Struthio camelus: one gene and its partner. The protein of the gene in region 2 interacts with the protein of the main gene of each other region in a pairwise test. Links are inferred from orthologs where the notes say so. Each region holds a gene or a part of one and is shown on either strand. Other genes may lie near its edges.

The links.
Region 1: the proteins of SATB1 (region 2) and PIAS3 interact in a two-hybrid assay, tested with the Homo sapiens proteins (2 studies listed by BioGRID and IntAct). The link is inferred for Struthio camelus from reciprocal best matches to the Homo sapiens genes SATB1 and PIAS3.

What each region holds. Positions count from the first base shown.
Region 1 is NC_090971.1:3,179,968-3,187,152, reverse strand, and holds the start of PIAS3 (E3 SUMO-protein ligase PIAS3), read left to right. Parts: upstream 1-4,184; 5' UTR 4,185-4,246; coding exon 4,247-4,270; intron 4,271-5,816; exon of another isoform or gene 5,817-5,934; intron 5,935-6,163; exon of another isoform or gene 6,164-6,206; coding exon of another isoform or gene 6,207-6,221; intron 6,222-7,185. Other genes in the region: ANKRD35 (ankyrin repeat domain-containing protein 35), read left to right, coding at 243-1,492, 1,529-2,107, 2,763-2,852, 2,963-3,028, 3,162-3,224. UniProt on the Homo sapiens protein: Functions as an E3-type small ubiquitin-like modifier (SUMO) ligase, stabilizing the interaction between UBE2I and the substrate, and as a SUMO-tethering factor.
Region 2 is NC_090943.1:42,032,076-42,039,136, forward strand, and holds the start of SATB1 (DNA-binding protein SATB1), read right to left. Parts: upstream 3,019-7,061; 5' UTR 2,635-3,018; coding exon of another isoform or gene 2,631-2,634; intron 503-2,630; exon of another isoform or gene 272-502; intron 1-271. UniProt on the Homo sapiens protein: Crucial silencing factor contributing to the initiation of X inactivation mediated by Xist RNA that occurs during embryogenesis and in lymphoma.

The DNA of each region.
Region 1 (7,185 bases), on a different chromosome or scaffold from region 2:
CTGCTTTGCGGGGAGCCCAGTTCGCACGGCCACTGCTCTGTGGAGCGGGCACTGCAGCAGAGCCAAGACCATGCCGACAGCCTGGGTGGCCCTGCAGGTGGCTCGCCCCATCCCCGCTGCACTGCACTCTGAGTTCCCGATGGGAAAAGTATTGCCAGGGGCACCACAGCTCTGCCCTTGGCTGCCCATGGCTTGGAAATGTGGTGCATTGAGCCTTCGCGGGTCGTTTCTTCTCCCGCCAGCAGGGAAAGGAGCTGGTTGTCCTGGGGATGCCGAGATGCAGGTAAAGCCAGCAGCCACTTCCCTGCGCGATGCACCCGTGGCCTCCGACTCCTGTTCAACGCACGCCGTGGCTTGCTCCCACGTGTCCCAGGCGGCCCCAGCTTGCAACAGCACAGACGACAGCGAGGAGGAGGAGGAGGAGGAGGAAGGCTGTGACGCGGAGGAGTGGCGGTGCCGCTGCGAAGCCGAGCGGGCCAAGGTCCTGCAGCTGGAGCAGCAGCTGGTGACAAAGGTGCGGGAGTGCGAGTGGCTCTCGGCCGCCCGTCGGACAACAGCGCGCAGCCTCTGGCAGCGGGTGCGAGAGCTGGAGCAGCTGCTGCTGGGGACAAAGAGTGAAGCCGGGACAGAGCCGGAGGATGACTATTGCCTGACCCTCCTGGCCGAGCACCTGCGGGAGCTGAGGAGGAGGAAGGAGGAGGCGGCAGGAGGCTTGGCGGCACCGGAGGAAGAGGAGGAGCGGCAGCAAGGTGAGCCAGAGCGGGAGGATGCGTGCAGGAGGCTACGGGAGCTCGAGGACCACTCAGAAAACCCACCAGCCACGATCGCCGCCGCCGAGCAGGCCCAGCTTGACGGGGACGAGCAGCGGCTGTGGGCACCTCTGGCACTGTTCCTCTCCTGGCTGGAGGAAACCTGCACCAAACTGCGGGCGGAGAAGCTCACCGTCTTCACCAGGAGCAAGGGACTGAGGAAGGAGGTGGAGGAAGCTTTGAGGAGCAAACTGCATTATGAGGTGGTGTCGGCCGACGCCGTCCGGAAAAGCCTGGCGGCCTGGGAGAAGCTGGCACTGGGGCTGGAGCAGGCGCTGAGCCACGCCGACGAGAGTCATGCCGAGCTGCTGCGGAGATCCCGGCCCCTCCTGGAGACCCTCCGGGCCCTGCAGAGTCAGCGGGAGCTGGAGGAGCCGCTCGACGGGGCAGCGCCTTCCCGCTCGCCAGAGAACGGCAGGGCCAAGCCAGAGGAAGTGAATCCAAGCCAGGCAGAAAAAAGCCAGAGCCAAGCACGCACGCTGGAGAGAGAGGCCGAAGAGCGGCCGCGGGCCAGGAGCTCCAAGTTGGAGAAGGAGGTGCTGGAGCTCAAGGAGAGCAACGGAAGGCTCCTGGGCGAGCTGGCCCAGCTGGGCCGGGAGCGTGAGCGGCTGCAGGAAGAGCTGCGTGGGCTGCGAGAGCGGGACGCCAGTGCGGCGGCGGCCACCGAGGGGCCTGGGCAGCGGGCAGCCGCCCTGGCCCGGGCGCTGGAGGCCGAGCAGGAGGAGACGACACGGCTGAGACGGCGGCTGGCGGCACAGCGGCGGGAGCTGGCGGTGCTGCGAGACAGCCTGGGCGCCCAGGCCCAGGAAGAGGCCGGCAACCAGCTCCCTGGCGCCTGCATCCTCCAGGAGCTGCACTGCAAGCTGGACGGGCTGGTGAGGACGCAGCACGAGGCCTTGCAACTCGTGTCGCAGATGGAAGGCGAAGGCGAGGCACTCGGGGATGCCCCGCGGCCGCCGGGTGAAAGAGACCCCCGCGGTCGCTGGGACGAGGACGGCGGAGACGGGCCAGCCGCAGGGGCCGCGCTGCGCTCCCGCGAGGAGATGACCCCAGACATCCCAGAGGGCAGCCGGGCGCTGCGGCGGGAGCTGGAGGCAGCCAGCGCTGAGGCCGCGCGCTGGGCCGAGGCTGCGGCTGCCGAGAGGAGGGCGAAGGAGGAGCTGGAGGTGCGGGCAGCCGAGCGGGAGCAGGAGGCACGGGAGCTGCAGGTGACATCGCGGGGGCTAGAGAGGAGCGTGGAGAAGCTCAGCGCCAAAGTGGGTGAGCTCGCCAGGGCCTGCCAGGACAAGGAGGGGAAGGTAAGAGTCAGGGCCCACACACAAGGCTAACAGGAGGAGGCAGCCCCTTCCCATCACCATCCCCTTGCCATCGGTATGTCCTTGCCATCGTTATGTCCTTCCCATCGCCGTTCCCATCACCATCACTTGCCCATCACCGTCCCCTTCTCATTCTCTCCTTCCCATTGCCATCCCTTTCCCATTGCCATCCCTTTCCCATCATAATCTCTTTCCCTGCCCATCAATATCCCCTTCCCATCATCATCCCCTTCCCATAGTCATCACCTTCCCGTTCCCATCATTATCCCCTTCCCAACACCATCTCCTTCCCATCACCGTCCCCTTCCCATTGCCATCACCTGCCCGCCAACATCCCCTTCCCATCACCATCCCCTCCTCCTTCCCAACACCATCCTTTTCCCACCATCATCCCCTTCCCATCGCTATCTCCTCCTGATAAAGCCAACCTGATCCATGGAAATGCCTAACACCCAGCAGGAGCGAGAATTTCCCGTTGTGCAAAAAGATCTCAAAGCGCCCATTTCTCAGCCAACTTTGGGGGGGGGGGGGCAGGCAGGAGGGTTGAGACAACTCCCGGGGGTAGCAGCGGGGCAGGAGCCAGCCCCCCGTTTTTCCCCGTCGGCTCCCAACTCTGCTCCCTGCTGCCTGACGCCAGATCAAGCAGCTGCTGGCGGAGATGGAGAAGCTCTCAGCGGAGGTGCTGGCAGTCCGCAGCGAGAGCGTCCGGCTGCAGCTCCGGCTGGAGGTGGGTCCCCGGCACCCGGCATCGCCCGCCAGCATTGCCTGGCATCGCCCACCGGCATCGCCCACCGGCATTGCCCCGGCTCTGCTTCCAACCTCCTTTTTTCCCACCAGCTCCAGCAGAAAAACCACCAGGACATCGTCACCATCTACAGAACCCACTTGCTCAACGCCGCCCAGGTAGGAGTCGGAGGCATCTCTGCCCTGGAGGGTGTTTTGGGCTGAAATGCTGCAAAATGCAATTTTTAGCCAGCGCTGGAGGCTGGGACGGAGTCTGGGTGCAGCGGGTCCCGGCTGAGCTTTGCTCCGGCAGGGGTTCATGGACGAGGTGGTGCACGGCATGCTGCTGCGGATCCTGCGGACGGGGGACGCCTGACGCCGCCGGGACGGATCCCGCACGTGCCCCGAAGCCATTAAACGGGAAAAGCTGCTCTGCGTGTGCTGCCTTCCTCCGGAACGGGATGGGGATGGGGACGGGGATGGGGACGGGGATGGGGGGGCCGGGGGGACCAGGGCGGCTGCACCCACCACCTAGCGCCGGGGGCATAGGGCACCCTGGGGGTGGCGGGGCTGGGTGGCCCCCTGGCCCCAGGACTAGTTAGTGGTACTGGTCAGGCCCTGGGCAGGACTAACCAGTGGGACTGGTGAGGCCCCAGCCCCAGGACAGAACTAGTTAGTGGTGCTAGTCAGTCCCCAGGCCAGGACTAGTTAGCAGTGCCGGTCACCCCCGGGCAGGACTAGTTAGCGGTGCCAGTCATCCCAGGCCAGGACTAGTTAGCAGTGCCAGTCACCCCTGGGGAGGTCTAGTTAGCGGTGCCGGTCAATCCCCAGGCCAGGACTAGTTAGCGGTGCCGGTCAGTCCCCAGGCCAGGACTAGTTAGCGGTGCCAGTCACCCCTGGGGAGGTCTAGTTAGTGGTGCCGGTCAATCCCCAGGCCAGGACTAGTTAGCGGTGCCAGTCACCCCTGGGCAGGACTAGTTAGCGGTGCCAGTCACCCCAAGCCAGGACTAGTTAGCGGTGCCAGTCACCCCTGGGGAGGTCTAGTTAGCGGTGCCGGTCAGTCCCCAGGCCAGAACTAGTTAGCGGTGCCGGTCACCCCCGGGCAGGACTAGTTAGCGGTGCCGGTCGCCCCGGGCAGGACTAGTTAGCGGTGCCAGTCACCCCTGGGGAGGTCTAGTTAGCGGTGCCAGTCAGTCCCCAGGCCAGGACTAGTTAGCGGTGCCGGTCGCCCCCGGACATGACTAGTTAGCGGTGCCGGTCGCCCCGGGCAGGACCACTCGGCGGCGGGGCGGAGTTGCGCGACGCTCCCTGCCCGCCCCCCCTCCCCCGCGCGCCGTGCGGCTGCGGCCGGGCGCGGAGTTTGCCTCGGCCCCTGGCGCGCGGCTGCCATGTCCCAAGATGGCGGAGGCGGCAGAGCTGAAGGTGCCGCGGGGGGGCCGCGGGGCCGGGCTGCGGCGGTGTGGGGTGGGGTGGGGGTGCCGGGCGGGGAGGCTTGGGGGTGAGGCATTCTGGGGGTGCGAGAGGGACAGCGGTGGCCGTGTGGGGCCAGGGGGCTGGAAGGCTGGAGCCGGGGGGCAGGAGCCGAGAGGCTGTGGGGCAGGAGCAGGAGCCAGGACCCGGGGGGCTGTGGGGCAGGAGCAGGGGCCAGGACCCGGGGGCTGTGGGGCAGGACCCAGGGGACTTTGGGGCAGGGGCAGGGGCCAGGCCCTGGGGGGGCTATGGGGCAGGACTCGGGGGGCTGTGAGGCAGGAGCAGGGACTAGGACCCGGGGGGCTGTGGGGCAGGAACTAGGGGCCTGTGGGGCAGGAGCAGGGGCCAGGACCCAGGGGACTGTGGGGCAGGGGCCGGGACCCGGGGGGGCTATGGGGCAGGACCCAGGGGACTGCGGGGCAGTGGCAGGAGCAGGGGCCAGGACCCAGGGGCTGTGGGGCAGGAGTAGGGGCCAGGAACCGGGGGATTGTGAGACAGGGGCAGGGGCCAGGACCCGGGGTGGCTATGGGGCAGAACCCAGGGGACTGTGGGGCAGAAGCAGGGGCCAGGACCCGGGAGGCTGGGGCAGGAACTAGGAGGGCTGTGGGGCAGGAGCAGGGGCCAGGAACCGGGGGCTATGGGGCGGGGGCTGAGTAGTAGGAGCGGGGAGGGGCTGTGGGGCAGGGACCAGGCGTAGGAACCAGGGGGGCTGTGGGGTAGGCAGCGGGGCAGGACCCAGGGGTGCTGTGGGGCAGGACCCGGGGGGCTGTGGGCCAGGAGCAGGGGCCAGGAACAGGGGGCTGTGGGGCAGGAGCAGGGGGGCAGCGGAGCAGGGCTGAGTGGAAGAAGCAGGGGGGCTGTGGGGCAGGAACCAGGTGTAGGAACCAGGGGGGGCTGTGGGGTAGGGCTGCGGGGCAGGAACCAGAGGGGCTGTGGGGCAGGTCCAGGGAGCTGTGGACCAGGGCTAGGGGGCAGGACCATGGGGCAGGGCAGGGGGGACTATGGGGTAGGAGCAGGGGGCAGCGGGGCTGGCAGAATGAGGGGCCGGATGCTGAGGCTCGCCCCAGGCTCAGGGCTCAGGCAATGCGTGGGGCTGGGGGAAGGGTTGGGGGGGTGGAGTAGGGTGATATGCTGGACTGTGGGGCAGCAGGGCTGCAGGTCCTGCGGGGTGGGGATGAAGAGCTGGGGGCTGGGGGGGGGGGCAGAGGGCTCAGCCGTGGGGGTCTACAGTGGAGCGGGGGCGTCCGAAGGGGTGCAGAGGGAGAGCGGGCAACGCCGGGGGAAGAGGCGGATGGACAGACGGGGACGGACGAGGAAACCGTGGGGCTGAGCGGCAAGGGGGCTGGGGCCAGGGCGGCGGGGGGCTGCGGAGGCAGGCGCAGAGACCGCCCGGGCGAGAGGGTCACGTAGGAAAGGGGGTCGGGTTTTGGACGTCGGCACGCTGAGCGGCGGATGAGGCTGCTGAATCAGGCAGCGACCTCCCGTGCTGTTTGCAAAGAGGAGGGGGCTGGAAGATTTTGGGGGGCTCAGGCGTGCGACGGAGGTTCAGAGAAAAGAAGTAGAAACCTGAAGGAAGGGAGAGCCAAGAAACGGAGCAGTTCAGACCCTCGAATGAGGTAGGGGAGTGCGGAGAGCGCAGAAAATAACCGGTAGGCTGGAGAGGGGATGAAGCTTGAGGCAGATCTTGGGGCAAGACGATGGTATAGCGGGCCGGGGAGCTGCGAGATGCTCCTGGGGTTTCGTAGGGGAGGAGGGAGCGGAGAGCGTGTAACATGGTAGTGCTGCACCAGTGCTCACAGCTGGATGGGGTTTCATCTCCCTCCACTCTCTTTTTCTCGTTTTTAGGAGTCAGAGTGTGTAACCACCTTTGCCCACCAGACTGTGGAATATGAAATTGCCCCTGGTAACTAATTCCAAAGCTGATTTGTGTCCTTGTTGGCGTTTAATATTTTTTCCCACAGGCTGGAATATAGATCTTAGCTGGCTGAAGTGGCCTAAGAGTCCTGCCCCCTTCCCTCTGCTGGGAATAGTAAGACATTTGGGAACTGGCACCTTCTTGGCAGCCAGCCACAGCAAGAACATAATTCTCTGGAGCTAGTATGTGTCTGTAATCTTTCCAGCAGCGGCCCGTCCAAATTTTGATACTGCTTTATGGTGTGATTGTTCTCCTTCCCCTAAAACTCTGTGTGACCTAAGCATGACTACAATGGGAGCCCTATCAAGTGTCAAAATGTTAACAGTATTTGTGGAGAAATTGGATCCGATAATTGTAATTGGGTGAATTGGAACAGCGCAGAACTTGAGCTCCAGAAATGCTTTTTATTTGTGCCGTTTCCCAGCATTCCAGGCAAGGTGTTAATGGCAAAAAGACCCACGTCCCCAGGCTCAGGTGAATGAACGCAGGGGCGCAGGCCCTGGTCCCGCTTTGACCCGCTGTTGCGTTCAGCAGGATGCATGTAAACGGTGCTGCTGCCCTCAGTGTGGCTACTCATCATATGCACTATAAAATAGCACATGCGTAATCCTGCAGTTTCAGGCCATAGCTAGCAAATGGCAAAGCTGAGTGCAACATACAGAGGGCAAAGTGGGTGTAATGTCCTTGGCATTTTCCACTCTGTTCCCTCTGCAGATAAATCACTGCAGAGGAATTGTGTTTTAAGGAGAGATGAAGCTTAGCGCATAGGTTTACATTCTCTGAGGTTTGGCCCACCTCTGAGATCCTCTAGTGGTCTTCCAGACTTCAGCCCTTTCTCTGGAGCCTGGCATTATTCAAGGCTCTCTTCAGTTTATTTTTAAATCTGTGCTCCCTTCCGGCAACTGAATTCTCTTGTCCATCTCCCCTAAGCCCTTTTTAGTTTACTAGCCAG
Region 2 (7,061 bases):
TCTGCTTGGCTTTTTCTCCAAATACAGCTGGAAACCTTAAGAAGGACTTCAAATTTATCTATGACACTCAGATTAAAAAACAGGTGACAATAGAAGTACTTCTAAAAATTGAGTAGCTGACACAATATTTGATTGTTAAAACATTTGTTTTTTCAAGAACGCCAAAATACCCCAGCTTCATTTTCTAAACTGCAGTCGCACGCTTCTAAACCCCTCTCCACCCAAAACCAGAAATGCAGCGTAAGTTGGTGCGCGTTCAAGACTTTCCTACCCTCCAGATGCTGTTGCGACGAAGGGGTGAGTGTGCCCACGTTCCCCGGAGGATTTGGCGTTCGGGCACCCGTCGGATGCTTACGGGGCAGCGGATGGCACCATTTGGGAGTCCCAAAAGAGCTGCAGCAATCAAGGCAGGTGCCGCCCGGCTGACCTCTGGGGCCTACGCTGCAGAGCCCAATGGGACCCTCCTCAAATGCAGATTTGGGCTGCTGAGATAGATCCTCTCTGTTTCTCTCTCGCGCAAAACAGCATGTGCCATTAGTGAGCCACAGACCGACTTTTATCTGCTTTATAGCTTTCTCAGGGGTACGGAGCAGGTTAGGATTTATGCATATCGCTAAAATAACAGGAGTCCAGAAACAGAAACTGTGATAGTTACTTTCCTATTTAAAGCATCAACAAGAAAGAGTCTAAAAAGGAAACTGCTACTTTTTTAAAGTGTACGCACAAAAAGCATTCCATTTAAATATTTTTTGTTCCAGTAAACTCTTTTGCATACAAAGGACTTATTTATTACATATTTGAACTTGTGGGAAAAAGAGAAGGAATGCACTGATTCCTGAAATAACTCTACAGGCTTTTTGGAAACTTTACTCTTGTTCTTGTTCTACTCAGAATAGTCTTATTCCAGGGAAGGAGGAATTCCTTGGAGCCAGTTGTTTCTTTTCCACTAGCTGTTTGTATTCAAGAGTGGGCATATATAGCATATTAACCAACGATTTTAATTTTTCTTCTATTGCCTTATAATGTGTGTGTGCTATCTGTTCAGATGCACACTTACACTTGCACACGTTACCTCTTCTGCTTGCTCTTTTTGTTACCTACTCTACGTGATTACACATTTCTGCACAAATCATTACTTCGACTTGAAAAGCAAGGTAATACCAACAACAATCTGAAATGGAAAATGAAATGGAAAATGAGCGTATGCGTAAATGTATTAAAAAGCATATAGGAACACGGGATTGAAAAGAGCACTCTAAAATTCTACAAACAGTGCTGCAGAGTAATGAGATGATACAAATTACAGAGAACATCCTACATTCATGCCTTTACACTCTATGCTTACTGTTGCAAGTTGTTTTTTGAATAGTGCGCCTGATTTGACACATTTCTATCTAGTGAGTGTGTTAAATGCTTGAAGAGATAGTGAAATATCCAAGCATTCCTTGTGCTAACTAAAGTTGAAATTTTACACTTATTGTAACCTTTTCTAACAATGTGAGAAAAACAGAGTAAATATATTAAATTTGTTTCACAACAGATGCTTAGGTTGTTAATATTTAAGATGCCTATTCATGCTATTCCTGTCTGCACATTTGTCAAAAATGTAAGCTTGAATGCTAATGTTTGCCAGCAGACTACAGCAGACAAATATATGAATGTACTATACCAAAATAATATAAAGTAGAAATAAGGGACGGCTGCTAACTCACACCCAAGAAGCAGGGACTGCAAGGAAAGGGTCCTGCTAGATCATACGCCTTAGAGTCTGTGAATCTGAATTTGTGAGTTATTTTCACGGAAGCACCGCACTCCGTTGGAGCGAACAAAAACCGATGGCGAGCTTTCGTCATTTTAAACGCATTTCAGCTTAGGAGCTGGTGCGAAGTGTTTCAGCGAACTTGCGTTTTAGCGAAGTTTCTCCAGCAGGCAGCGAAGCCTGGAGCCTGGCAAAGGAAAACTTAAAACCGGGCAGGTGCCGCCTGTCAGGAGCGCTCCGCCCGGGCAGCGGCCGGAGACGCCGGCAAAAGGACGGCGACGGGGGCACAACCTCGGGCGGCGGTTTTGCCGGCGGAGCGGAAAAAATCAGAATAAAAGCGCGGAGCACGGACGGGGTTGTGGGGGAGGCGCTGGGGCTGCTGCGGCCCCCCGCACCTCCGCACCGCACCGCGCCGCGCCGCGGGGGAGCGCGCAGCTCCGCGCTGGCGCCCGGCGGCCTCGCCGCGCCCGCGGCCCACGACGGCTCCCTCCCCCCCTCCCGCCTTCCTCGCCCCGCGCTCTCCCGGGCGCCGCCGGCCGCGGTGCCCCGCGTCGGGGAGGCGCGCGGGGCCGCGCGAGAAGTTTGCCAAACTTTTCGGACGGCTCGTGGTTTTTTTTTTTTTTTTGTCCTCCCTCTCGCCCCCGCGGGGCGGCGGCGGCAGGTGCGCGGCCGGGCGGCGGGCGGGCAGCGGCGCCCCGTCGCGGAGCCTCCCCGCCGTCCCCCGCGCTGCCGGCGCCGGCCCTGCGCGCCCGCGCCCGCCTCCGCGGCTTGTGCCCCCCGCGCTGCGCTGCCCCGTCTGCCCCCCCCCATTCCCCCCCCACCTCCTTCCCTCCCTCCCCCCAGAGAGGCCGAGGAGCGGGGAGCGACTCACGCATGGGAGCGCGGCGGGCGAGGCCGGCGACACCTCCGGCTTCCGAGGCGCCGGCGAAGTTAATTGCACTGAAGTTCAAGTTGTCTGTTCACCCATCGGGAGTGGGCGTTTAAAGGAAGGAGAGCGAGGAGGAGGAGGGGGAGGGGGGAAGGGGGAGAGTCTCTCTCTCTCTCTCTCTCTCTCTCTCTCTCTCTCTCTCTCTGTGTCTCTCTCTGTGTCTCTCTCTCGCGCACACACACACACACACACGCACACACACGCACACGCACACGCGCGCACGCACACGCGCGCCTGCCCGCTCGGCTCCCCTCCCGAGCTGCCTGAGCGAGGAGGAGCCCGGACGGAAAACACCAGGGCAGCAGGTACCGGCGTGGGGCAGCTCTGCCTGCGCGCGCGTGTGCGTGTGTGCGCGCTCCCCTCCCGGCCGCCGCGCACGGCGCCCTCGGGCGGGGTGCGGTGCCCCCGGGGGAGGGGGCGGCGGTGCCGTCGGGGCAGCGCGGGCGCGGGGAGCCTGGGTTGGGGCGGGGGGGGGGGGCTGCGCGCCGCCCTGCGCGGCAGCGGAGTGGGGGGCGAGCCGCGTTTTTGTGTGTGTGTGTGTGGTGCCTCCTCCTCTCTGCTCGCTGACTCGGTGGGAGTGCGAGAGGTGGGGGGTGTGTGTGTGTGTGTGTGTCCCCGCCGCCCCCTCCGCCGCGCAGGGAGCCAGGTAGGACACACACACACACACACACACACACACACAGAGCAGCGAGAAAGGTCGGAGCCCCCCGCGGAGCACCGCGGCCCCACCGCTTTCCCTTCCCTCCTTCCTCCCTCCGCTGCTTCATTCCCGCCCGCGGCTGCCCCCGCGGGAAGGCCGCGCCGGCGGGGCCGTTTCGGGCCGGGATGGCACCGCGCTGCTGCGGCGAGCGGCGGCGGCGCAGGACCGGCTCTGACGGCGCGCAGCTCCGCGGCCGCGCAGGCGGCGGGGGGCTGCGGGGCGAGGGCCGGCAGCCTGCGGAGGGGCCGCGCCGCGGTGGTGGCGACCCGCCCGAGCCGGGCGGCAGCGGGGCCGCGCCGTCGGGGCCGGCAGCGGCAGCGGGGCCGGGTGCCGCCGCGCTTCACCCGCGGTTCCCTCGCCTGATGTTTCACCTGGCACGACGTGCTCCACAGTACCGCTGTTTCGGAATTCTCTTTTTTTTTTTTCCGTTTAATTTCTCCTTGGGGAGGGACTTTTTCCTCTGTTCTTTTGTTTTTAAGACCTTCCTTCCCTTCTTCGCTGATGCACAGTTTGGAAGTGGAGTTCCTGGAGAGTGAACCTGGCAGTGAGGGCAGGTTTCCCTGAAAGCTGAGGCTGTTTCTTATTCCCTAGGAGCCTGAGAAGAGAGGGGACCCTGGATGTCAGCCCGATCTCCTTTTTTATTTATTTTGACTTTGTGGCAGATTTCATCTTTCAGCTCTGGGAATTGACAAATGCAATTCATGTAGGCACCTTTACATGTCTTACAAACAAGACTGACACTGTGAAGTTGATACGTCAACACTTTTCCTAGTAAACCAGTGGTATGCTCTTCTATTAATTGGTATTAGAAAGTGCAGCCTTGTAACACAGTTATTGAATAATCATTAATCCACGGAGGATACACAAGCCCAAAGGTTAATAATGGTAATAACAATTAATAATATTGACTTTGCTGGCAGGAAGAATACTTTCTCATAGTTATTATGAGGCACTCCCATTTATAAATTTGGCCCCAATACATTGGCTACCAAGTTACTGCAGCAGCAGTAGAAGTTAATTTAGCCTGTTATCTCCATGTTATTTGGCCTCTATATTTTTCTCCCTTTAAAATGTATCATGCACTGGCTGATTTTAAATAGAAATGCCAAGCCTTTAATCAATTCTGACATTTCCACTAGAAAACAATACCTAGCTCTGTTACGCAGATAAAAATTTCTTTGCATGTAGTGTTTTGGACCTGTTCATTTCTTGGAGAGGGCTTAGCTTTTTACGATCTTTAGGTAGTATGGGATGCTAAAAAGAAAGTGCAATGGGAACTTTCACACTTTTACAAGTACAGCTAACCATTCCTTAGAGCTTCCTCCTCACTGACTGACTGGTTGTCACGTTTTCTGTAGTCAAAGACCCATCTCCTGTATTTGTATCACACTCTTCTGCCTGGTTGGTCATTGAATCCTAATAGTAATCATGTTTCATGTCTCAGAAATCCAATCATCAAGTTATTCAATCTTATAAATTGCAACTAAGCTATTTGGGTTAGTCATGTTATTCCCACTTTAGAGTCAGGGAAACTGAAACAGGAAAATTTAATACATTTTGACTGAGGCCACACATGGATTGAAGAGTAGATCCAGGACTGGAACTGAATTATGGATTTAGATCATGCTACCACTTAAAGACGCCAAAGTACACTACGGAAAATGCCTCTTTAAGAAAGAATTCTAATATAAACCTTTTTTTTCCCCAATGATTTTATGTATTAATGAAAATACAAATTTTTGAGGTCACATTTCCTTTTCTACATAAAATATTTATCCAGATTTTTAGAAAACGTAGTGATACCTTTGAACTTCACAGGCAGTTTACTTTGGAAAGAAGAAACTTAATATGAGATTGTGTGCAGTAATGGAATCAGAATTGCTTATTATTAGGTGATGGTAAACAATATTCACTGGATGTCATGGGGTAATTACAGGCCAACAAAATATACTGTGAAGTTCAGTATTAGTATAGATAAGGTGCTATTGCTTACCTAGTGTGCACTGGTTTTCACTCTAATGCTTCGACAGTGCTTTCAGTATGAAAATAATTAGCATAGGTCTAAACATTGGAAAACATTCAGGATAACTATATATTGTGTTTGAAAGTTATGATTTATATCATTAAGCAGTGTGTTTTATAAAGTTGTCATTCATGTCAATGAAGCAAGTATACTGCCTGCCCTTTAGTTGTGGCATGCCATCAAAGCTATATTATGGTATGACTGAGCACAGATGGCATGCCTAAAAAAGCAGGTGTACAATGTAACTTTCCTATTACTGACACGTTGAAATTTCCTCTTCCTCAATGTCCACCACAGATGTTTGCTTGCCCAGCCTTCTACAAGAACTGTAGAAAGTCGTACGCATCTGCTCATCCCTGAAGTCTGGAACTGTACAGCCAAAACTCTCTACAGAATATGTGTTCATATATTGTATTTATGCATGTATTTATGCTGACAGCTACATTTTATCACTGAGTTTTTTCAGAGTGCTGATTTGAGGAAAGTGGGTGCAGATCTCATTCAAGTAATCATCCTCCAATACCACTAGTGTTACCTGCCAAAAATGAAAGTGGCATATGAATCACAATAATCCACTCATTAATTTGTGGATTCAGAGCCTGCCAAGGAACATCAGAAATCCACGTGATGTCCCTGAGTTTTAGGGACTTTGAAAGATGTGTAAAAGTGCATTTATCCAAAGACTGTCTTATTGATGACTTATCTTACTGATAAGGGCTACTGACATAACCTAAAGACCACAAGAACTGAAAATATTTATGTCCAAATCTTTCCCTTCCAGGCGGAATAGTGAAAGTGGTGAATCTGCCAACTGTAGCTATGTCGGAGGCCCTTCCTGAGGTGCCTCTTCTTGAGTGCTACTGTGACCTAGTGACTTGGAGATACACTTTTACTTAAGAAGAGCTATCGGATCCTCTGTGAAATATCACAGATGCTTTCTGATTCTTTCAGATATGCATATATCTTTATGCTTACACCTGAGCAGAGAGGGGTGGGGAGGGGAGCAGAGCAGGGAGTAGAGTGGGGTTAAGAGCATCCACATAGATCCTGCAAACAAATAAATACATGTATATTTTCTTTATCTGATGTTACTTGGTGCTTGAAATGGAATGATCAATATTAAGAAGAAATACTTCATTATTGTGTGCATACTTGAGAGTTATGTTGGTTGATAGAGAAGGCCATTTTCTGCCTGTCATTACAGATATTCAACAGACCTGTAACTCTGATCTGTCTTACACAAACCACACATCTCTCAATGACAAAAACTCTCAGTAATGCTCAGATACTGATATCATTCCCAAGTATATGTACCTAATCAAGTATGGCTTATTTTCAGCTCCTAGTATATTGCTAATGCTACAGTAGTGAAAAACAGTATGCGCTACCTACCACTTCTTATGATTCCTTGCTTTCTTTATGATTTACTTTAAGCTAAGCACGCCAGAAACTGAAAATAACATTTGAGCCTTTTCTCCTCTGACATAGGAAAACAACTGCCTAATTTCTGTAATCTGTTCATATGTTAGTACTTCTGAAACAAAGCAAAAAGCCTGCTCGCTATGACAAGGTCTGCCCATAGCTGTCTCAGCAGCTTAATGAAATGTTAAGGCCTGGTTTAAGTAACTACGCTCCAAATGTTATTAGTGTT